Arabidopsis thaliana: one gene and its partners. The protein of the gene in region 3 interacts with the protein of the main gene of each other region in a pairwise test. Each region holds a gene or a part of one and is shown on either strand. Other genes may lie near its edges.

Evidence for each region.
Region 1: the proteins of EER5 (region 3) and DSS1(V) interact in a two-hybrid assay, tested with the Arabidopsis thaliana proteins (one study listed by BioGRID).
Region 2: the proteins of EER5 (region 3) and AT5G61290 interact in a two-hybrid assay, tested with the Arabidopsis thaliana proteins (one study listed by BioGRID).
Region 4: the proteins of EER5 (region 3) and FAC1 interact in a two-hybrid assay, tested with the Arabidopsis thaliana proteins (one study listed by BioGRID).

Annotation. Positions count from the first base shown.
Region 1 is NC_003076.8:18,166,356-18,170,110, reverse strand, and holds DSS1(V) (DSS1 homolog on chromosome V), read left to right. Parts: upstream 1-1,727; 5' UTR 1,728-1,889; coding exon 1,890-1,980; intron 1,981-2,529; coding exon 2,530-2,660; 3' UTR 2,661-3,105; downstream 3,106-3,755. Other genes in the region: AT5G45020 (Glutathione S-transferase family protein), read right to left, coding at 1-65, 132-356, 436-612, 693-905; AT5G45000 (Disease resistance protein (TIR-NBS-LRR class) family), read right to left, coding at 3,106-3,274, 3,365-3,755. UniProt on the Arabidopsis thaliana protein: Subunit of the 26S proteasome which plays a role in ubiquitin-dependent proteolysis. Also associates with the TREX-2 complex that is required for transcription-coupled mRNA export.
Region 2 is NC_003076.8:24,646,854-24,651,325, reverse strand, and holds AT5G61290 (Flavin-binding monooxygenase family protein), read right to left. Parts: upstream 2,799-4,472; 5' UTR 2,728-2,798; coding exon 2,157-2,727; intron 2,056-2,156; coding exon 1,985-2,055; intron 1,899-1,984; coding exon 1,740-1,898; intron 1,657-1,739; coding exon 1,574-1,656; intron 1,370-1,573; coding exon 1,234-1,369; intron 1,140-1,233; coding exon 966-1,139; intron 871-965; coding exon 679-870; 3' UTR 511-678; downstream 1-510. Other genes in the region: AT5G61300 (uncharacterized protein), read left to right, coding at 1-421. UniProt on the Arabidopsis thaliana protein: Catalyzes the conversion of methylthioalkyl glucosinolates of any chain length into methylsulfinylalkyl glucosinolates.
Region 3 is NC_003071.7:8,465,174-8,470,912, reverse strand, and holds EER5 (proteasome family protein), read left to right. Parts: upstream 1-1,767; 5' UTR 1,768-1,843; coding exon 1,844-2,011; intron 2,012-2,615; coding exon 2,616-2,752; intron 2,753-2,841; exon of another isoform or gene 2,842-2,862; coding exon of another isoform or gene 2,863-2,870; coding exon 2,871-2,964; intron 2,965-3,070; coding exon 3,071-3,160; intron 3,161-3,259; coding exon 3,260-3,325; intron 3,326-3,412; coding exon 3,413-3,502; intron 3,503-3,591; coding exon 3,592-3,648; intron 3,649-3,748; coding exon 3,749-3,810; intron 3,811-3,892; coding exon 3,893-3,980; intron 3,981-4,093; coding exon 4,094-4,170; intron 4,171-4,505; coding exon 4,506-4,580; intron 4,581-4,652; coding exon 4,653-4,758; intron 4,759-4,857; coding exon 4,858-4,989; 3' UTR 4,990-5,223; downstream 5,224-5,739. Other genes in the region: CDA1 (cytidine deaminase 1), read left to right, coding at 1-315; AT2G19550 (alpha/beta-Hydrolases superfamily protein), read left to right, coding at 5,382-5,739. UniProt on the Arabidopsis thaliana protein: Involved in the regulation of ethylene response. Probable TREX-2 component required for nuclear RNA export.
Region 4 is NC_003071.7:16,032,937-16,040,676, forward strand, and holds FAC1 (AMP deaminase, putative / myoadenylate deaminase), read right to left. Parts: upstream 6,037-7,740; 5' UTR 5,858-6,036; coding exon 5,503-5,857; intron 5,396-5,502; coding exon 5,205-5,395; intron 5,121-5,204; coding exon 4,955-5,120; intron 4,622-4,954; coding exon 4,443-4,621; intron 4,366-4,442; coding exon 4,314-4,365; intron 4,196-4,313; coding exon 4,068-4,195; intron 3,988-4,067; coding exon 3,808-3,987; intron 3,725-3,807; coding exon 3,657-3,724; intron 3,463-3,656; coding exon 3,320-3,462; intron 3,219-3,319; coding exon 3,157-3,218; intron 2,689-3,156; coding exon 2,575-2,688; intron 2,441-2,574; coding exon 2,300-2,440; intron 2,204-2,299; coding exon 2,051-2,203; intron 1,971-2,050; coding exon 1,917-1,970; intron 1,836-1,916; coding exon 1,725-1,835; intron 1,652-1,724; coding exon 1,478-1,651; intron 1,255-1,477; coding exon 1,174-1,254; intron 1,082-1,173; coding exon 983-1,081; intron 900-982; coding exon 831-899; 3' UTR 791-830; and 3 more. Other genes in the region: CXIP2 (CAX-interacting protein 2), read right to left, coding at 1-118; AMT2 (ammonium transporter 2), read right to left, coding at 6,736-7,170, 7,338-7,441, 7,580-7,740. UniProt on the Arabidopsis thaliana protein: AMP deaminase plays a critical role in energy metabolism. Essential for the transition from zygote to embryo.

The DNA of each region.
Region 1 (3,755 bases), on a different chromosome or scaffold from region 3:
ATGTATCGTTGTTTTCCGAGTACTTCCTCACATCTATCTACTGCTTCATATAACTGGTTCACTGCCTGGAGAGAAAAGGGATCAATTTTTGAATCCCTGTTCAAATGTTTAAGACATTGAGGGATATATACCTCATTATAGGGTTCTTGTTTCCTTGCAAACCCACATTTATAAACACCGTTGTTTATTCCGTTGAAAACCCATCCGTTAGTCTCGTTGATTACGTCTCTGAGATGAGAAGGATAAAGGTCAAGTGACGGGGTTTTCGCAATACCATTGAACTCAGTGTTGAACATCCGGATTATCTCTGAACTCTCATTGTTAACAACAGTCTTAAGCTTCTTATCCCAAAGAACCTAACATAATAACAAAACAAACATTCAAGAAACAGGACAAAGAAAGATTAAAGAGTTCACCAAAGAGATCAAAACTTACAGGAACAGTGTACTTCCCTTCATAGTTTGGGCTAGCAATCTCGTAGAGTTCTCTCACACTTTTGGCACCATTAAGATAGTCAGGCTCAGCTCCAGGGAGCTCGGTATCCGAATCCGGGAAAACCCATCCTCTATGATCATCAGTTTCCTTGGTTCTTCCCCAAATGGCATGAACCGACTAATCAAATCAAATAAAACAGAAATGCTTCAGGTTAACAAAGTCTTCTAATTCGATATGAGCAATGAATTTGTACTAACCGAGAAGGTGATTGCTTCATCAAGTCCTTTGATCTTTAAGTAAGAAAGACATCTACAAGCCCATGGACAAGCATAAGATATGTAAAGATGGTATCTTCCTGATTCAGCTGGAAACTGAGAATCAGGATCTTGTGAAACAAAGTTGCGGAATGTTGATGCTGTTCTTACAAAAGCTCCAGATTCTGATGTCTCATCAACCCCAGACCTAGCCATTTTGCTACTAATAAAAAATCAAACACGAAAATTCACATGACAAACGAAAAGAATAAAAATTTCAGAATGCACAATTTTTCTTTTTCACCTCAATAGAGTGAGTAAAGTTGAAAACTTTGAGAGATTTCTTATAGATGGTCACTTGTCACATAATCAATCTCAATTTTCTCTAGGTAAAGGATCACAGGAAACGAATCAAAGCATCAAAAAGTTCAGAAATTTCGAGTAGGGTTTTACTTAATTATCTCATTAGAGCTAGAAAAAGGTTAAAATAAAATGTTCATAATTCATAGCCTTCAAATATGATTTTCAACATTTATGGATCATTGGGCCAAAATCAAACCCAGAACTCAGAAAATGTCTAACAAGAACATGATTCATGCAGAGAAGAAGATAAGAGACAAAACCTGTTGACGACGATGTTATGTATTTGGCGTCGAATGTCGCTGTTTTGTGGCGATAAGGTTAAAGAAGAAAAAGTGAGCTTTAAGGAAAAATGGTAATGAGGGATGTCATCTTATAGTGAAAGAGAAGGAATCCGAAAAAGGACTTTGCTTTGTCTTCACTGCTCTGTCACGCCTAGCGAGTTAACTCAGACTAACGAGTTGACTCAGCTGGGTTCTGTGGGGAAAGCGTGACAACTTTTGGACCGGTTTGTATGTCATGGATTTGGTCAAGACGAATGCGACTATTGGACCGGTCTAAAACAGCTTCTTTTAAACCTCAATCGGATATTTTTAATATTGGGTCGGATTCGGTATGAATCATATAAGATTCGGGTCGGATTCGGTATGAATCATATAAGATTCGGGTCGGTTATTGGAAATTGGTAATTTTCCCCTTCTTCAAGTTAGACCCAAAACGAAAAAAAGGTTCGTTTAAAGAGCTCTGGTTGGGTTTAACTTGGAGGAATTAATCGAGTTTGGTGATCTTCTTCTTAGGTTTTTTTCTCGATCTGGTTGATTTGCTTAAACATCTGTAACTATGGCGGCAGAACCCAAGGCAGCTGTCGAAGTGGTGAAGGTGGATCTATTCGAGGACGACGATGAGTTCGAGGAATTTGAAATCAACGAAGGTGATTTTTTTGTTTTATACTAATTGCTTCTTTGATTTTCGAAATTGATTCATCATCGGTTATAAAATTAATGGAGATAAGAGCAAATTTCATTAGCAACTGATTTGGTGATTGATTAGGTTTTGGTATAAATACAAATTTTGATTCTGCACTGTCTTATACAAACTAAGATAGTCTCTATTGTATGAAGTTGGGTAGTTCTGATGCGAAAACGGATCTGTTTGATATATGTTTATGATGATGAAGCTACGGTCTCATAAACTTGATGGATAATAGTGCAGTTTTATGAGCAAACTACTGGTGATTATGTTTGCATTATTAATCGGCAAGGCTTCATGAGCTAAAGGGCCTAAAGGTTATGGTGGATTTAGGAATTATTTGGGGGCATTGAGTAGCTTGGGGGAGAGTTGTACAATTCAACTTAAGCTAGGATCAGTTTCTGATTTTAACAGATTTTGCTTTGCAATGTTAGTTCAGTCTTGAGATTTAACAAATAGCTTTATTGAAAGAATTGATAAAGATGGATATTTTTATTGTTATGTTTGGCAGATTGGTTGGAGAAAGAGGAAGTGAAGGAAGTTAGCCTGCAGTGGGAAGATGACTGGGATGATGATGATGTCAGTGACGACTTCTCGCGTCAGTTAAAGAAGGAGCTTGAGAATGCTAGTGAGAAGAAATGAGGTCCAAGATTGCGAGAAAGGCAGGTCTTCTCATTTAGGGAACCTTGGCTTTTTTGTTTGAATTGCATCCTTTGGTTTATCGTAGCATGTATCGGTTCTCCTTTTCCTTTACACATTATACTCTTCCTTGGATGCAAATTTCTCGTCTTTGAAGATGATAAATTTGAGCTGATAGTAATTCTATTCTGATAATCACCATCTTCTCTCAACACAGTGCGGTGTGGACATGGATTGGTTTACTATGTACATCACAAAATAACCGTAGAGATAACATTCAAATAGACATAGCTGATGTGCGTCACAACATTACATATAGTGTTAGCGTCCACAAGCCAGAAGCGAGAAAACATCATTTTGTTTCTAATATTAACATAAAATCTTGTGCAAGACAACAACCAAAAACGGAAAGCCTAATAACAACTTACCAATTTTCAAAAAGTTCACATCAGGCATAGGCATAGGGTATATGAAGACAGCAAAGATAAATGTAGCAGTCAAAGCCCTCAAGAAAACTTCTCCAATACCTAATTTTCTTCTTCTTCTTCTTCTTTGGAGAGTTTGGTAGTAATCTTGTAACCTCTTTAACAATGGCACCGACAAGAGCAAATTCGTTCCTGCAAAATGAGTGAAAGAAACTGATTAGACGACCTTACCACAAAGTCGATCTTACTACAAAACAAGAGTTCTATTAAATATTCTATTACATGTGTGCTTCCAAGCTCAAGCCAATCCTCCCTGTAACAGTAGATGACTTCAAGGATTTTTCCCAACTTTCAACCATCATTGGTTCCATAGCAAATCTCTCTTTTGTGTTTCTAAAATGTATTCCAAACTCTCCCTCAAGTCTTCTCACTTCGTTTGTTTTCACACTGTAGAAGACTGGAATGACCACGAGTTTTCCTTCCTTGGCAAGCTCTTCCATCTTCACAAGCTCGTTCAAACACCGATATGACTCAGAATACCTCTTTGAGAAGATGGCAAGCGCGATATTCGAGTTCTCTATACTCATGAACACTTCTTGTTTTTGTCCACTTCCTATAAGCTTGAAGCTGTCTTTGAAGACATTGATCCCTGAGTCTCTCAAAGCCCACACGA
Region 2 (4,472 bases), on a different chromosome or scaffold from region 3:
TGATTGTATCACTCCTCTGCATTGGTTTGCTAGAATCGCATCTTCGGTTGTTGAGGACTCAAAGAGTGAAGTTGGATTATCAGTGCCCGGATTCAACTCTAGTAACAATGACTATCCCGAGGCAATGACACTGCAGCTAACAGAGATGAAGTCAGAGGAGCAAAGAACAAACACTCCAGTCTATAACTTTGCTACTCCTAAACACAAGAGGACCCTGCACAGTCGAGGAAAGCGTCAACAACACAACGAGTTTCTCCCGAGCCTAAGCACTTTTAACGGAAACAAAGCCTCTAAGGTTCTACAGAAGATAGAAAGGCCAAGTGAAGCTACTGAGACGAATGATGCTCACTCAAGCTATATGGTAATCGATTGGGGAACCGTAACAAAACGAAGAAGAGGCATCAGAAGTCCTGCCTGCTAATACCAAAGCTTACATACCTTTTTTGCTTTCAGATTCTTGAAGAATCAAAGTCTAGTTACAGTAATCACACCACATAGGAGATATATACTAAAACAGTGAAACTTTTGGGTTTTTGCTTTTTACAAGTTCATCAAAAAGAAGATGAATTTGTAAGCTAGATGGTACTTCAAAAAAGAAGTTTACATACAAATATACTACAGAAAGTTTAGACCTTTAGCGTTTTTATTCATTTAGACAAAAGATAAATCTTGTTTTTATCAAACAGAAGGAATTGAAAGTTGGGTAAAGTAAGGGTCTTGAAGAGTTTCTTGAAGAAGATCATCATCGTCCCAAGAGTCACGATAAGTCTCTAGATTTTCGATGGAATTCAATATAGCCGATAAACACAAGACCTTTCTCCATTCCTCCAGATGTGGAAATCCGATGTAATCCGCGTATTTATCGCTATACTGCAAATATCCAAAAACAAAAAAACAGAGCTTTATCAGATGAAAAAGATCGAAACTTTTTGAGTAAACAAAAAAAGGGAGAAACTTTGTACTACATTGAAATCGGCGATGTCGTGAGTGTTACGTTTAGGGATTCCGTCAGCTTCTCTGGCGAGATAGAAATCAGAGATTGATTGCATCATTTGATCAGAGGAAGGAAGTGAAGTTTTGCCTGACAAAAGCTTTGCAATCCATTTAGCTTGTGATTCAAAGAATGGGAACCCTATCAACTGCAATTAACCGGTTTTTAATCCTCGATTTAACTAACGAAAGATTGATTTATATAAATCATAATGATTAGTAAGTAAGTACTAATCATTGTACCTTTCGAGGGATTCCGACAAAGGAGAGAAAAGGGGATAGAGAAGGAGAGAAAGTATGTTCGAAGAGTGGTCCAACTCTATTATCATCAATCTCTACTCTTCCTTTGCTCTCAAGAAATGGAAATTTGTACTCATACCTACACGTATTTGTGCCCACATTTTTAGTTTTTTTTTTTTGTTAGTAAACATAAAATTTCTCAAATCTAAAAATGTCAAGAAATGTTTATATATTCATGTATAGAATCCACAATTCTGACATTTTTTCTGTAACTATTCATATGTCGGCCCCAAGAAATAAGGAGATGAAAGTGATCTTGTCGTGGAAAGAAATATTAACTTACCCGGTACAGTATAAAATAGTGTCGGCTACAATGCAAGACCCATCTTCGAAAATGACCCGTCCATCTTCTTCCAGAGATTCAATCTACAACCATTTGAAAAATAAAACAAAAGATTTTAAATGATTTGAATAAGATGTATATATGTGATGTGATGGTAAGACCGTACCTGAGGATGAAGATGGAGATTTTGATGTTTTTCAATGACTTTGGACAAGCCAGGAGGAATATCAAGTGATTTGGTACTTAGATGAACTTCCTTTGCCACTTCCACAAGCTCTATTGATATGTCTTGTCCACTCATTGAGCATCCAACGACCACCACTACCTACCATCATCATCATCATGCATGCATGCTTCATATAAACATCATGAAATCATCAAGTTTATTCACTAATTACTACAATTAATAACCTCATCACAAAAAGGCTCAGGCACTCTATATATATGGCTATGAAGTTGCTTCCTCTTCCACAAATCCATACCTGTATTTAAAACACCAAAACCATTTTGATTATGAACTTAAACATAATTACACACGGACTCCAAATTATAGCTTTACATATAATTTAGACAAAAACAATACCTTTAATTGTAGGCAATCTAGGATAAGAGTAATGGCCAGAGGCAACAACAACAGCATCAAACACTTCTTCCATAACCTCACCACTTTTCTTTACACTCTTCACCATCCATTTCTTCACATCATCATCATCATCATCATCTTCATTCACCATTCCCACAAACTCAACCCTAACATTAAACCTAATCATCTCTCTTAACCCAAACACTTGACAAAAATCCTTAAGATACAACAAAAGCTCCTCATGCCCTGGGAATCTCCTCGAGTCTCTTCCTTCCTTCGCGATGAAGGGGAAATCAGAGAAACCCATTACCTCTCTGGGTGAAGCTAACCTCAAGGATGAGTAAACACTGCTATGTACTTTTAGGGTTTTGGTTTTTCCCAATGTATCTTCTTCATCTACGTTTGGTTGGTATAACCACTGACCTCCTACGTCGTGGTTTTGCTCCATCACCACCACTTTATGTCCTTCTTTCTTTAGCTCTCGCGCCGACACTAACCCTGATGGTCCTGCTCCTATCACACATACCGTCTTTGATTGACTCTTAATTGGCTCTGTAATCACTAACACCATTTTGGACGGAGAGTAACTGATTTTGATTTGCTTCTCGTGGTGTCATATATGGGTCATGGGGCATGCTTATATAGTGGTTTTTTTTTTTTGGTTGTTGTTGTTGGTCAACAATTGTTTTTTTGCTTTTTTTGGTTATTACTGCATTGAGAACTAAGGTTAAAAGAATATAGCTACATAAACTTAGCTAGCTAGTGACATTTTTGAAACGTGGAAATTATAAATGAATGAATCAATCAATAATAAATCAAAGAGACGACGAGACGTGGTAGACAAAAAACACGAGTCAAGTACAATCAAAATGATGAAATTAAAGGTCATTGATTGTTTTTTACATTTGTCTTTGTCGACAGACAACATGTGATATATTGATTGTTCATAAATATCTTTTTTCAAGCTAAATACTGTACTTGTTTAGTTTATATTTTTAGGAAATTTAATTAATTAATTTTGATTTTTTACATCATTTGCTAATCATTATTGGTTAATTATATATTATGAGATGATTCATTTTTTCTTACAATTGTTGATTTGTATATACATAATTACTCTATGATCACATTTTGGAAAACTTTGTTTTTGTTTTATGTGTTATATGCATGGTTAAGATAAAAAGTAATTATATATGTGTCGTTTGATAAATTATAATTTTTAAAGAAAACAGACTATTTCACCCATTTTGCTAATTTCTCCCTTTTTAAGTAAACCATGGGACTTGTTTGACCAGCATGAACCGATATCATTCTCAGCCACAATTCAAATCGGAGCTAATCCTTATCCAAAATTTAATATTCTATAATTTCTCTCCGTGAATATCGAAGTTCAATAGTATGATTATCGATTAGTATCTAAATAGTAAATTCTTTTCATGGAAACAATATATTTGAATTCATTAATATATCCGATTAAATATGTTGAATGCCTCTAGTACATTGTATATTCATTAATTTTGATTTCCTCCAACAACAAAAAAAACTAAAAATATCATTTATTTTGATGAATGGGACCTGGTTTGATCAATCATAATCTCTGACTGACCAACTCACTTCGATACAACAATTTCAGATTTTTTTTTGTAGGTCCAATTCTGTTAAAAAATAATAGATATACAGTGGATTTATATCGTTCTATTTGAAATAAAATAACCTGTCCACTTCAAATCGAGGCTGGGGTATATATATATATATATATATTTTAATTTATTTAATTCTCATCGTGTACAGTATATGCAAATTCAATATTTCCATGCACAGTATTTTAATTCCTTAGTTGAACTCGTGACACATTAATGTATCAATTAAATTTGTTTAATTTTAATAAATAGAACCCGTTTGATCAATCATAATCTAACCTAACGTAAATACGTAGTACGTTGAAAAAATAACTGTAGGTCCAATTTAATTAGTTGTGTGTATGTTTTTTTTTTTTAACAGAATATAGTTTTTTCAACCTAATATTAACACGAAAACTTTAAATTTTTACCAACTAGACTTCATCTTTTTGTTCTCTACAGAGTAGTTTTTTTTTTTTTTTTTTGGTTGTCCTCCAAGAGGGATGCCTAGATATTATTTTAAGGTTTTATAATTGACCCCGTTAAAAAGCTCTTTCCAGTAAGCTACCAAATGAGCTTTTTTCATCAAAGCATGTCTTACTAAACGTTTACATTCATATATAATTATTCTTTGCACCAAAATTATAGAGGAGACAAAAAAGTTTCCTTTTCAAAAAAGTCCTCTTTCTTGTAAATA
Region 3 (5,739 bases):
TTAGCGGCGGCGAATAGATCGTACGCGCCGTATAGTTTATGTCCATCGGGAGTTTCGCTGGTGGATTGTGACGGGAAAGTGTACAGAGGTTGGTATATGGAATCGGCGGCGTATAATCCTAGTATGGGACCAGTACAGGCGGCGTTGGTTGATTATGTGGCTAATGGTGGTGGAGGAGGATACGAGAGGATCGTCGGAGCGGTTCTGGTGGAGAAAGAAGATGCGGTGGTGAGGCAAGAGCACACGGCGAGGTTGTTATTAGAGACTATATCGCCGAAATGCGAATTCAAAGTGTTTCATTGCTATGAAGCTTAGAGAATCATTTAATTATCCGAAAAATAAAGGAATTTTAAAAAAAAAGGAATAAAAAGAAAATGAGACTTTTTAATTCTTAAAAGTGTTGAAATTGACGGAAAAAAAAAAAGTGTTGAAATTGATGTGATGGATAACACATAGAGAATAAGAAAAGTTTATATTTTTAAATTTGTTAAAAATGTTTATTGTATTAAAAAATTAAATTTAATACAATTATTATGTTTATGGAGTATTGTTAAAAAAAAAATTGTTGATATTAAATTTTTCCATTTTTTGATATTTTTTTTTAATATCCCCTTTGAAAATTTAATTTCGTCTATAAGGGATGGATTATGTGGATTAGATCAAATCGGCCAAATTTTATAAAATTGACAAGGTTTTCAAAAGTCTCAAATCGAATCAATGATTTTTTTTTTTACATGTCAAGTTATGATGTTTCTTTTATGTACGCAAAAAGGCAAAAATAAATGAACGTAATGATGGCTTTACACATTGAATTTGTTGGAATAAAGGTTCCAAATACGAAGTATGAGAAAGTAGAGAATATAAGATGGTCCACATGCAACTCTTACTATGAGTGGTGAACAATGAATCTAAAGATTTTTAGATTAGTTTCAAATGGAATGCTTTTTAAATAAAATGATATATAAGAGCATATTTTAGTAGGAACCTTCATACCAAAAATAAAGTAGGAACCTTAAAAACCTCTCAAGTTTCTCGTTATCTTCAACTTTTAGCATTACACATAAATACTAATCCTGGATTGACTTCTCTCAACTCAAAATTTCTATTAATTGTGTGTTCAAGAATAAAATATATTGATAATTATATGATTAGCGTGATTTTTATTTATTTATTTATCATGTACATGTAGTAGAGGCCTTTGCTAACTATGAAAGAAGGGGAATATCAATGGGAATATATAGAAGTGTGAAAGTATAAATCACATTTGGAAACAAGTGATTTATTTGATCAGTTAATTACTTTTGACAAGTTGATTATATTCATTTCTTCGAGTTTTTGGCAACTTGTTGAGTTATATGCATGGTATAAATTGATTTCATGTCCCTTCAAGAAAGTTCCTCACGTCACCATCGGGCTAAGAAGACATATTTACATACAGATGTCAACATTACGGACGATTACATGAACTTAAAAAACCTTAAAGCAAATTAATCATGATCTATAAAACGATTATATGAACTTAAAAACTCTAAAAAAAATTCATGATCAGTACCACCGATTACAGGAACTTTAAAATCCTTCCAACACTAATGATATTTTCAAATCCTTTACAAATAAATTTTCAAACATTTTAATGATTGTATTTCATATGGGCCTTAAATGGCCCAACTAACATATGTCAATAAGTCTAATACCAGAAAAGACTAGTACGTAGTAACAATTTAGTTAATTACCAAACGCCGTCGTTTTTCTCAACTCCGTTATTTCCTTTTTTTTCCTGGCGACTTATTTGATTTCGTGTCTCTCTCAAAGAATAAGGAAGACGCAGACGAAGAAGGTGACAATGGCGTACGTTAGTATGGGTGAAGCTCACCGGAGAATCACTGAATACCTAAACCGATTCTGCGACGCCGTTTCGTACCAAGACTCTTCTACACTTTGCCGTCTCCTCTCTTTCTCTTCCAATTCTCCACCTCTTCTCTCACTCGCCGACGCACTCAACGTCTTCCAGGTACATATATTCTCTGTTAAATCGAGACCCATGATTCAAATTAGCAGCTTGGAGTATGTTCCTGTGATTAGTGGCATGATCCTTGTAAATTGGTAAAGTTAGGTTCGATTTCAAATCCAGGATGCTTCTGATATGTTCCGATTGGGTTCTCGTATGAATTGTGAACACTAGGAGCATGGTTTTTATGTTAGCAAAGTTTGTAACTTTTAGGTTAAATCGATTCAATGTAAGATCCTTAAGAGTATGATTTTCTAATTGGGTCCTCCTACTTCACCAATGAGTATGAATTTCTGAATTTAGGGCTCAAAACACTAGGAACATTATCTTTATGTTAGCAAAGTGTGTATCTTTTAGGTTCAATCAATGTCAATCTAGGATCCTCCTACTTCACTAATGAGTATGATTTTCCAATTGGGTCCTCCTGCTTCACCAATGAGTATGAATTTAGGCCGTGAAAGTGTCTCCTATTGAGTTGTTGTAGTGAACACTCTATGTCTATGTTTGAGTTTATGAGTATGGATTTTAGATTTAGGGTTTTTATTTATATGTAGAGAGCTGTGAAAGTGCTGAATCCTTTGAGTTTTCTTTTCTTTGACTGATACAGGATTCTAGCAGTTTGATTAGACAGTCTGATAGATTCTCTGAATATGGCGAGATTCTGGCTCATGTGTTTCGTTCTCTACAAAGTTACCGAGTTGGGAATCTAGTCGAAGCATACCTTGCTTTCGATAAGTTTGCCAAGTAAAGTCTTCTTGTTCCTCTCTGCTCCTCTATTGATGTCTAATATGATTTCAGGGTGATAAGCTTTTTTTTTTGTCTGTTCACAATGTCTGATATCTGATGGATTCTATATGTGCAGTGCATTTGTTCAGGAGTTTCGTAATTGGGAATCTGCTTGGGCATTGGAAGCTCTGTATGTAGTTTGTTATGAAATTCGAGTTCTTGCGGAAAAGGTAGTATCTCATTTGTATATCCCTTTTTCAAAATCTTAACCTTGTCTGGTTTCATTGTGTCGAGGAGTCAGTTCTGAAAGCATGATTTTTCCACATGGAATTGCAGGCTGATAAAGATTTAACTTCTAATGGAAAGTCTCCAGAGAAATTAAAAGCAGCTGGGTCTCTTCTCATGAAAGTTTTTGGAGTTCTTGCTGTAAGTTTTCCCTTTGATCTATCTATATATCTTCAGGAATATTAGTTTATATTTGTGTTCAATATTTTTTCCGGCTCCTTATGTAGTTTTAAACTATAGGGGAAAGGTCCAAAACGAGTCGGAGCATTATATGTGACTTGCCAATTGTTCAAGACCTACTTTAAGGTGATATGCTTTCTGGCAACAGTTTGATATTTATGATTTAACCATTAAATGGAGTACTAAACAGGTATCCCCAATTTTGTATTTTAGCTTGGAACCGTCAATCTTTGTCGAAGTGTAATAAGAAGTATCGAAACTGCTCGGATATTTGACTTTGAGGAGTTTCCAAGAAGAGATAAGGTCTGGCGCAGTTCTCTGCAAACAGTTTTAGTTTTTGGCCTCCTTATTCGGTTACTTATTATCTTCTGTTTATTCTTCGCAAACACCAGGTTACATACATGTATTATACCGGCCGATTAGAAGTCTTCAACGAAAATTTTCCTGCTGTGAGTCACTAAGAGATTTTTTCTTACCATCACAGTTCATTTCGTAGTGTCAATCCAAATATTGATAGTAACATTTAATCTCTTTTTTTGGATCTTGCAGGCTGATACAAAGCTATCATATGCCTTGCAAAATTGCAACCCCAAAAGAGAACGAAATATAAGGTCTGATTCTGGTTTTACTCTGTGATTACCTTACTCTTGCATTGCGTTGCTTAATCAGCTAATGTGGCCTTATGTGAATCAGGATGATATTAAAGTATTTGGTACCGGTGAAGCTTTCTTTAGGAATTATACCAAAAGATGAGCTCCTGCGAAATTATAATCTGCATGAGGTAACGACTTTTCTGTTGTTCTATAAAATTTTCTTCGAATCTATGTCAAAACTTATTTCGCATCTGCTGAGTGATATCATATCTCTCTTAATCCTATTTCTCTACGTGTCCAGTACACAAAGATTGTGCAAGCTCTGAGAAAGGGTGATCTAAGGCTTCTCCGGCATGCTCTTCAAGAACATGAAGATCGGTATGTATTTCTTTCGATATCTTGCTTTTCTCATCTAATCCAAATGATAGAGTCCTTGTGGATACTCTAGAGCATGAGTATTGGAATTAGTATAGGCTGCTTGTAGTGGATTATATAGCTCTGCTGACAGGTCAGTAACACCTGGTTCTTAGGTAGAGAGCTAACAGGTTAAAAGAAAATTGGGGCAGAAAGAGTTGGGATGTTCTGGATTTGTCTAGGGGTTAGGATTTGCAGTTGGGTCGAGAGTAGAGTTGTGCAAGTCTCTATATGATGAGTATTTTGATTCTATCACCGAACAACTTAATATCTCGATCTAATACTCTTCTTTTATACAGGTTCTTGAGGTCGGGTGTGTATCTTGTCTTGGAAAAGCTAGAGCTCCAAGTCTACCAGAGACTCATGAAGAAAATGTAAGCAAAGACAAGCTATGATACCATCCAAGATTCTTGAGTTTATAACTCTTATTATTATCAATGTTTCAGTTATATAAACCAGAAGCTGAGTGATCCAGCGAGAGCTCACCAGCTGAAGCTTGAAGGGATTGCCAAAGCACTAAGATGGCTAGATATGGACATGGATCTGGACGAGGTTTGTTCTACAATACCATCCCATTCATTGCTTTTGACTTCTTCTAAAATTGAAATCTTCTATAAACTCACAGTTGTCAAAATAATACTGTATTTGCAGGTGGAATGTATAATGACGATATTGATATACAAAAACCTTGTGAAAGGTTATTTAGCTCACAAGAGCAAAGTGGTAGTTCTAAGCAAGCAAGATCCTTTCCCTAAACTAAACGGGAAGCCTGTTAGCTCATAAGTCTTCACGTGTTATTTTTTTTGTTGTATCAACAAACACTTTTTATTTTCTAATTGTGTGTAAAATTCATTCAAACAAAAAACAAAAACTGTTTTTACAATAGAAATGTGACTTTAAAACTGTGGAGTTTTCACCATGGTTGAGGAGTCTACTTACGAGTAAGGTCCAAATTTCCACTGAATATCGACATGAGAAGAATAAGTGATTACGAGTTTTAGTTTAGCAAAAAAAAGAAAAAGTGATTACGAGTCTCATTCGTATCTCCACAGAAAAATGCAATTTGATCTTTGGCGAGAGTTCCAGTTCCATACTTCCATTACCTTATTCTTTTTACATCAATAGGGGGCCTCATTGTTTTCTTCTCTACGATTACCACCTGAAGCAAAAAGACGATGAAGCCAACGAAGATCGTGATTCCGAACCGCCGCAACGAGAAGCTCGTGGGTCTGCTTCACGAAACTGGATCAAAAGAAGTTGTGGTCTTATGCCATGGCTTTAGATCGGACAAGACCAACAAGATTCTCAAAAACGTGGCTACAGCTTTGGAGAAAGAAAAAATCAGCTCTTTTCGTTTCGATTTCTCTGGTAACGGAGATAGTGAAGGAACTTTCTATTATGGTAACTTCAACAGTGAAGCAGAGGATGATCTGCATTACGTTATTCAACACTTGTCCTCCTCTAACATCATGAACCGTCTAGTTCCTGTCATTCTTGGTCATAGTAAAGGTGGTGATGTCGTTCTTCTCTATG
Region 4 (7,740 bases), 7.6 Mb from region 3:
AGGATGGTGTGAAGCGTGAATAGAGGGTGATCACAGGGGTATTTCGAGAAACATGTGGACGAACAACACGCGGAGAGGCTGAGGCGTGCAAGGAGGAAGAAATGGTGATTGCAGCCATTTTTGTCGGAGCTGAGAAAAGTTATCGGTGGAAAATGATGAGCTCTTTTATTTGACATAGGATTTTATCCATTGGGCCTGAATTGGACTGTTATTAAGGCCTTATGATACTTGGGTTTTAAATACCATAATTCGGAAAAGTGGGACCCGCTTTAGTTTCTTTTTTCTTACACATTCCATACTTCAGTCTGTTATGAAACAAAAGGAACATTTGTCTAGTTCACTTCATGATCAAGCCAAATCTACCAATGTGACCCAAAAACATGTGTTTAATCCGGTAAACAGATCTCAGTATGGTTTAAAACAGAACCAAAACAAACAAACAAAATTGGATTTCGAACATAATGCTATTTCTGATTAAAAATTGAATCTGAATCCAAGTTAAAACAGTATGTAATCCAAAAACTGAAATCCATTATATTAAAACCGGTTCTCAACTGGTCTCTTTGTATCTCATTATCTAAAAAGCTTTATAAAACAATAAGATTTTGGCACAGCCTAATCGCTTTCTCAGGGCACAGAGCCACTCATATTATTACCCTATCTACTAGGTTCCTGCTTTCGTATACTTCTCAAAATGCTCTCTTTGTTCCCCTGCAATCTGAAATTCAATCATTGACATCATAAGAAAATGTTGTAACAGAAGTGATAAGATCATTGAGTTGTTACATACATGTTGGATTCTTACGTCTTGCCATTTCTGATTGTGGTTTTTATGGAACAACTTCATCAGAGATAACAGCCTTGCCCAGATAAACCTGTTGCATCTCCTCTTTCCAGATCTGCATCAACTTCATATTTTTAATTTGTTTTCCTACAAAGAGAAATTAACTTGTGTGAAGAATAAATATATTTCATTCCATACCGTGTCACGGAACTCCACCCTTATGTGTGGCACGTTTGTTTTGTGAATGTCGTTTCCATCAGGTCCTCTTTTGTAGTAATCTTTTCCAATCCAGTGCGACTGGAACATCTCAACAAGTTAGTATTATTAGTAGATCGGAACAGAGACATCTTGTTCATTCATACTATGGGCCATGTTGATATAACAAGTACCTTCAGGGCGTGTGAGAAACCTGACTGGTACACTGAGTTACGAGCTATCTCGCACAGGTCACACGCACTCAGCTTCCAAACCTGAAAAATCCAGTTATCATCTTCAGTTAATACATAAATATAACTAAAACCTAGAAGAAAAGGATGTATAGAGAGAAATTTCATTGTTCTTCGTGTTTGCAATTGCAGAAGATCAGTATAAATCATTTAAAGGTAATAACTAATAAGACTTTTAAAAATATAATCAACTTTTCAAGGCCTATGATGTGTGGCAAGACTGCATAATGGAAAGATTATGACTTACTGATGCAGCTATGCTATACTCTTCCACGAGAGGTTCTTTAGTTAAGTGAATCTGAAGGGGGTCATCAGTAGACAGAGAAACATTGAGACCTCTTAAGAAAAACACAGGAAACGGGTTCCGGTGGTAATCTAGAAACAAAGAGTTGTTGCTCAGTGGTGACATGGCCAGACCAATCTGTCAAAAGAAATGTCTTCTTAGAACAGAAACAATAATACATATGTAATACATGCAGGCAGTCTCCACAAACCTGGGCGAGGTAGTACAGATACTGAAGCACAGGAGACTTTCGCAGATTGATTCCATGTGCGATGCTATGGCATGTTAGAAACGTAGCAGCCAAGTGGTCAATGTCACCAGCCTGAAATTTGTAGACATGTTAAAATTCCACTGAACTGTAACTGAAAACTGTTTATCTAGCACAAAGGAAGAAATAACACACCTCTCCAGAATGTGGTCGTAGCGTGATAGTAGTCATGCCCTTTGACTCTCGAAGCTGAAGAAAAATAGTTACTCCATATTACACAGTTTTGAGAACACCAAGTTAGTTACAGAAGCGACTAAGAGGAATGGTACCTTATTTAACACATAGAGGTTAGCATAACAATAGTAGACATAATACGAAAATGCAGGATTGAATGCGTTAGTCCATTGAGCTGGAGTGGGCATGTGTTTTGTGGGACGTCTTTCAGGTTTGCTTTCATCATCAACCAAATCAAATCCAACAACCTGAAATAGCAAACAAGAGACAGCAACCAGTCAAACCAACTCTTTATTGTGTAAAGACATGCGGATTAGAGGTTATTTGAAGATATGAATGCTAACCTGCTTCAAAAAAACATGGAGCTGAGGATGGGAATCAGGATCTACCGTGGCTTCAAACAGAGGAATGAATATATTGTCCAGGATATTCTGGAACGATGTCACAATACCCATGTCCTTGTAAATGTTGTACAAGCGTGGGAGCTAGTGAGCAGACAAACAGAAAACAAGGAAAATATAGCTCAGTTAGCAGTCATGTTACAAACACACGGAGACAAAAAAAACACATACACTCATGGAAGGACATGGAGCACACAAGTATCAAAGAGATGGCTAACCTGAATTAACCAGACAACATTCTCACTGTATAGATCATTGTTCACAATCCAACTAGCGAGTTGGTCCCACTCGCTCATTTTTCTGCCATATATAGATATTCTGTATTCAGCCATCTGCAGTGTTCAACGTAGACATCAGGAAAAACAAAACAGAGCAATTATGGATCTGCTTTGGCAAGAAGATTTCTTGACACAGAATTTGAGCAATGCCATGATGTTTTTTGGAACTCAAGTCAATGCGCATATGTGAGGGAGTGTGAGTTTGATATGGTTACTGAGACTAAAATCCAAGGATTTTACTACTATATCTTTTCCTAATATAACAAATGAGTTAAAGTTTAATGCAGCTATAAAGCATATGCAACAAGAAATAGCAAGCTTTGCATTTGTAAGGGGGAATAGGAGGAGATCCATTACCAAATCCTAAGTCTCTATGTATTCCCAGTAAATCATTATATCAAAAGCTTAGTTAGAATGGATTTGATTCTAACAGTGTTCCTCTCTTATAATGTTCGTTCTAAATGCATAAGACCACTGCAGTTGATCAAGAATAAAAATAACAAAGATGCATGTGGCGTTTACCTGATATTTACTAGCTTCAAGGTCAGAGAAGACTTGCTTTGTTATCTCACCAAGAAATCGACCTTAAACCAAACGAAAATAAATGTCAGGCAACTGAGAGTGCATAACTGATGCATCAAATGAACTAAAAACGGTAATAAGAGTGACTGGAGTATTCAATTACCTTGGATGAGATTATCCTGTTTAAGGAAAATCTCCCTAAGCCTACTTTGACCACAAGGGTTATACTTTAGGTTGAACTTATCAAAACGATGAAAGGTACTTTTGTCTGCATGAACATCCAAAAGGTCGACGTTCAGGTCATATCTGTGCAATGTTCAAACAAAGGGAAAAAGGTTAATTTCTTCGGTGTCATGGTAAAAATGGTAAAAAATGCAATACAGGCAATCTGCGGTGCGCAACAACTAGGAGGCTCCTAAGAGGGTAATCTAATAGTCTTGCAGCCATCAGATTCAGATAGAGTTAAGTTGGGAATTCTAAGAAGTTGGAAATGTAATTACCCAGTCAGATCCAGGCTCTCAAAAACTTCTCTCAAGGTCAAATATGTTCCATCTCGGAATATTACAACCTGTATAAAGGAGCAAGAAATTATCATATCTGCATATCAGCAAATTGTATACTATCCTAAAACATATAGTTTGCCATTGTTACCTCATCGGGTTCTTTCCGGAGCTTTGACTTAATAAACCTTAAAAGGTGTTTCTGGTTCATGCAAGCTGAATGATGCACATGAGTGTCGACTTTCCTAACGTTATAAAAATCACGATGTGGTGCACTTTTTTGAGCAAGAAATTCTTTATCCGCATTAAGCATCAAATGGAGATTAAATTTCTGAAACAAAAAATAGACATACTGTTAACAAGACGAAACTTGCTTATTGACATTCATTCTTCTCTAAATAAAACTCTTGCCTGTTCTAGGAGCACTAGTCGACGGTGGCACAAAGTCCGGATGTTTCCTGCAGCTATGACTTTGAGTACGTGATGCAAGTCAGTGAAAAACGCTGTGGCATCAGCTACCGGGAAGAGATCTTCTTTTGCTGGGAATTATGAAACAGAAGAAGGGTCAGTTATTCGAAAAGCAAAAGAATGCAACCAAATCAACTATTATGAGTAAAGGAAAAAGAAGCATTAGAATTTTAATACTAGGACTCTTACCATCTTTATTTGCAAACACGTGGACAACCCCATCTTGCATCTCAAAACAATGCTGTAAAAACAAAGATTGGGAAGTTTAATTCATCAATGCATGGTGTTTGATGACATATATAAGGAGTATAGACTCACATCAGATTTTCCCTGAGGATAGTGTGCAAATGGCTCTGTATTAGGCTTTGGAGTACTAGGATCAGATATGACTTCTTTTTCCCATGGTGCAACTGTTTCTTGGAAGACATACCTCTTCCGCAGTTCAAGACATTCTTGCAGACATTTATAGGCTTCAACTTCATCGGACGTTGGCACCTCTAAACAGATCATGAGTAAAATATGAATAAGATATGTGTTGACGTCTTAACCGTTTCAAGCTATAATTCTTAAACTATAATCTAAGAATTTCAATGGCTCAGCTCCCACACTGAGTAAAGCCTTAACTGACCCTTGCTTCTCTTACTCAAGACTACTTATTTAATTGTCCGTAACTCCACTTAATTACTTGCCACTAGCAAAAAACTTTTCAAGTAGTGGGACTTATAAAACAAACATGTCATGATTTGTAACAATAGGAAAAGAGTACTAAGCATACAGGAACCAGAAGTAAGGCAAGATGACAGAACGAAACAAAAAGTGACCATTCTTACCAAGAGGAACATTAAGACGGACAAAGGTCTCTTGCTCTGGCTCCTTACGAAGAATGTCAGCAGCAATAGGATCAGGCTGAACTCCATGTAAGTCACCAGACACACTATGGGATCGAATCATACTTGAAGCAGCCATAGATATTTGTTCTTCATTAGCATCTGCAGGCTGCAAAAAACATCTTACTTGTAAACCCACCTATTCAATCACAGAACAGGGATTGAAAAAGTAATGATAAATAAAGAAACTCACCATCTCATTGTCACCATTAGCTTGCAAGTAGGAAGCATCTAAACCCTCACTATTAGTCAAATTATCATCATCATCTGATTCTTCCACACTCTCAAAAGCACTAGCACTAGCAACAGGGGATTTCGGAGATATTGGTCTAACAAAGCTTCCAGTTTTCCTGATACTACTAGCTCCATGTACAGAAGCTCTCCCTGAAAAAAAGCAATCACAAACTATCTATCAGCATCATCAAAGGATTAAAGGATCAATTTTTATAATCCACAATCTAATCTGATCAATTCAGGTTTGGTTCTCATACCTTCAGATGGCGTATGAAGCCTAGGGAGACCAGGAGGAATTTCATCGACATAAACGTGACCGTTGCTCCGTCCTGTATCACCGCCGCCGCCGCCGCCACCATCGGTAAAAGGAGTGGCATCTGGAAGAGAAGCAGGACTGCGACCATATTGGTCATTAACCTTCCTTCTAACTTGGCTCCGCCGCCTCACCAAGGTCGGATTTTGAGGCTCGTCTCCATCAGGGTTCTCTTTACGCTCCTTACCACGCTCAAGGACTAGATTCAGTGCCTTGAAATGCATGAAAAACCCAGAAACAGCAACGAAGGAAGCTCCGAATAGAGCCGCGAGGGCAAGTTGGTAAATATTGGGTTCCATGAGTGACACAATCAAAATCTCTGTGTGTGTGCTCAGGTCAGAACTCAGAAGAGAGAGTAAGACCACGATTTCGTTTTAGTGGCGATGGTGGGAGGTCGAGGTTGAGTTGTTATTTATAGGCCCAACGAGTGAAACCACGCCACTTGCAAAAAGGCTGGGTCTTTGATAAAAGTTGAAACCTTTATGGCTAAAAACTAAAAGTGCTGATAATTATAGGGGCAGAGTTTTATAGACAAATAATTTCTTCATTAGTGTTCAATTATTTCAGACACCAATTTTTGTTTTTATCTGTCCAATTTTTTTATTTTATTTTATGTTTGCTTTTATACGTGAAAGTGAAAACTCTTCATATTTTTTAGTTTGTTCAAATAAAAAATCATTTTCATAAATATTGTACAAAATATAAAACGGAAGAAAGTTCTTCATTAAACATTAACACATCAAAATCCCTAAGAAATAAGGGAATTAAGGTTAACACTATCATTTTAAGAAAACTAGGTGTTGGGCCTTTGGCACTAAATATCAAGAGAACTATGGGTCTAATGTTAGCTCGAGTCCAGATTACATGGTCTCAGTCTCATGCTTTTCTTTTTTATTTGTGGCCCAAGGAAAAAGTGATTAAGGAAATTACTTATTAGCCAAATGACTTGAGGAAATTACTTTAACTGAATTTAAAATGGTTACAAGGTACATTTGTTCACGAACTCTATGTTTTCATTTCAACAAAATCACAAATGGTTGTTAACTCCAAATACACACCAAAAAATATGAAAAGTGAAGTTTTACCACCTATACAGAACACAAATAACTCATTCACATCTCTAATGTCATAAGGAAATCAATACACAAAAAATAAATAAGAAAAAGAAGAAGAAAAATCATAGAACAATGGTGACACCTCTAGCACCATGAACATAAGAAGGATGAGCAGCTTCTTGATCTCTCTCAAACTGTTGCACATGCCTTGTAGCATCAAACTTCTCTCCATCTCCCCAAAGAGCATAAGCTTCTTCCCCATGTGCTGCGTCGTCTCCAATCCCGAGCTCTTCCTCAGCCATTCTCAATGGTATGAACACCCTAATAGCGAGTAGAATGATAGTAGTCGACACCACATTCCAGACGGCAATGAAGGCAGCTCCAGCCAACTGTTTCAAAAGCTGTTTGCCGCCATTGCCACCGTAGAAAGCTCCTCTGGTCGCTGGGAGAGGAAGTACCAAAACGCAGAGATCAGGGTGTGCAAACAACCCTGTCATTATTCCACCAAGTAAACCAGCCACGGCGTGTGTGTAAAACACCGCTAATGTATCATCCACCTGTTTATTTCAACCCAATCAAAATATTACAGTTCAAATCATTCGTTTGTTATTACTAATACCTTAATTCTACAATTGAAACATTTTCGTTTTTCTAATAAGGTAAAACATTTTTTTTTTTTTTTTGTTGGTTATGAAATTAAAATGGGATTTATGATCTAAATTACCTTTTGAAGGAGAGCGGATTTCTTGTGAATGATCATCATAGAGGCCCATGGAGCTGTTCCTGAGACTACTCCAATTATTATAGCTGCCCATGTTTGGATCAAACCTGCAATAGATATCTTATTTGTCAGTATAATAAATTAACAATGCAATATTAATAAGTTTCCACATAATTCAACCTTAATCATAAATAAACTTAGAGACTTAGAGTAAACAAAAAACTTGAAAAGAAGATGACTGAAACCTGCTCCGGGAGTGACGCCGGCTAAGCCAGTAACCATGCCTTGAATTGCTCCGATGACAGAAGGTTTGCCAAAGAAGATGACATCAAGTGTAGTCCATACAAGGAGGCTTGTGGCGGCCGAGAGGTTGGTGTTTAACACGGCGATAGAGGAGGTTAAGTTG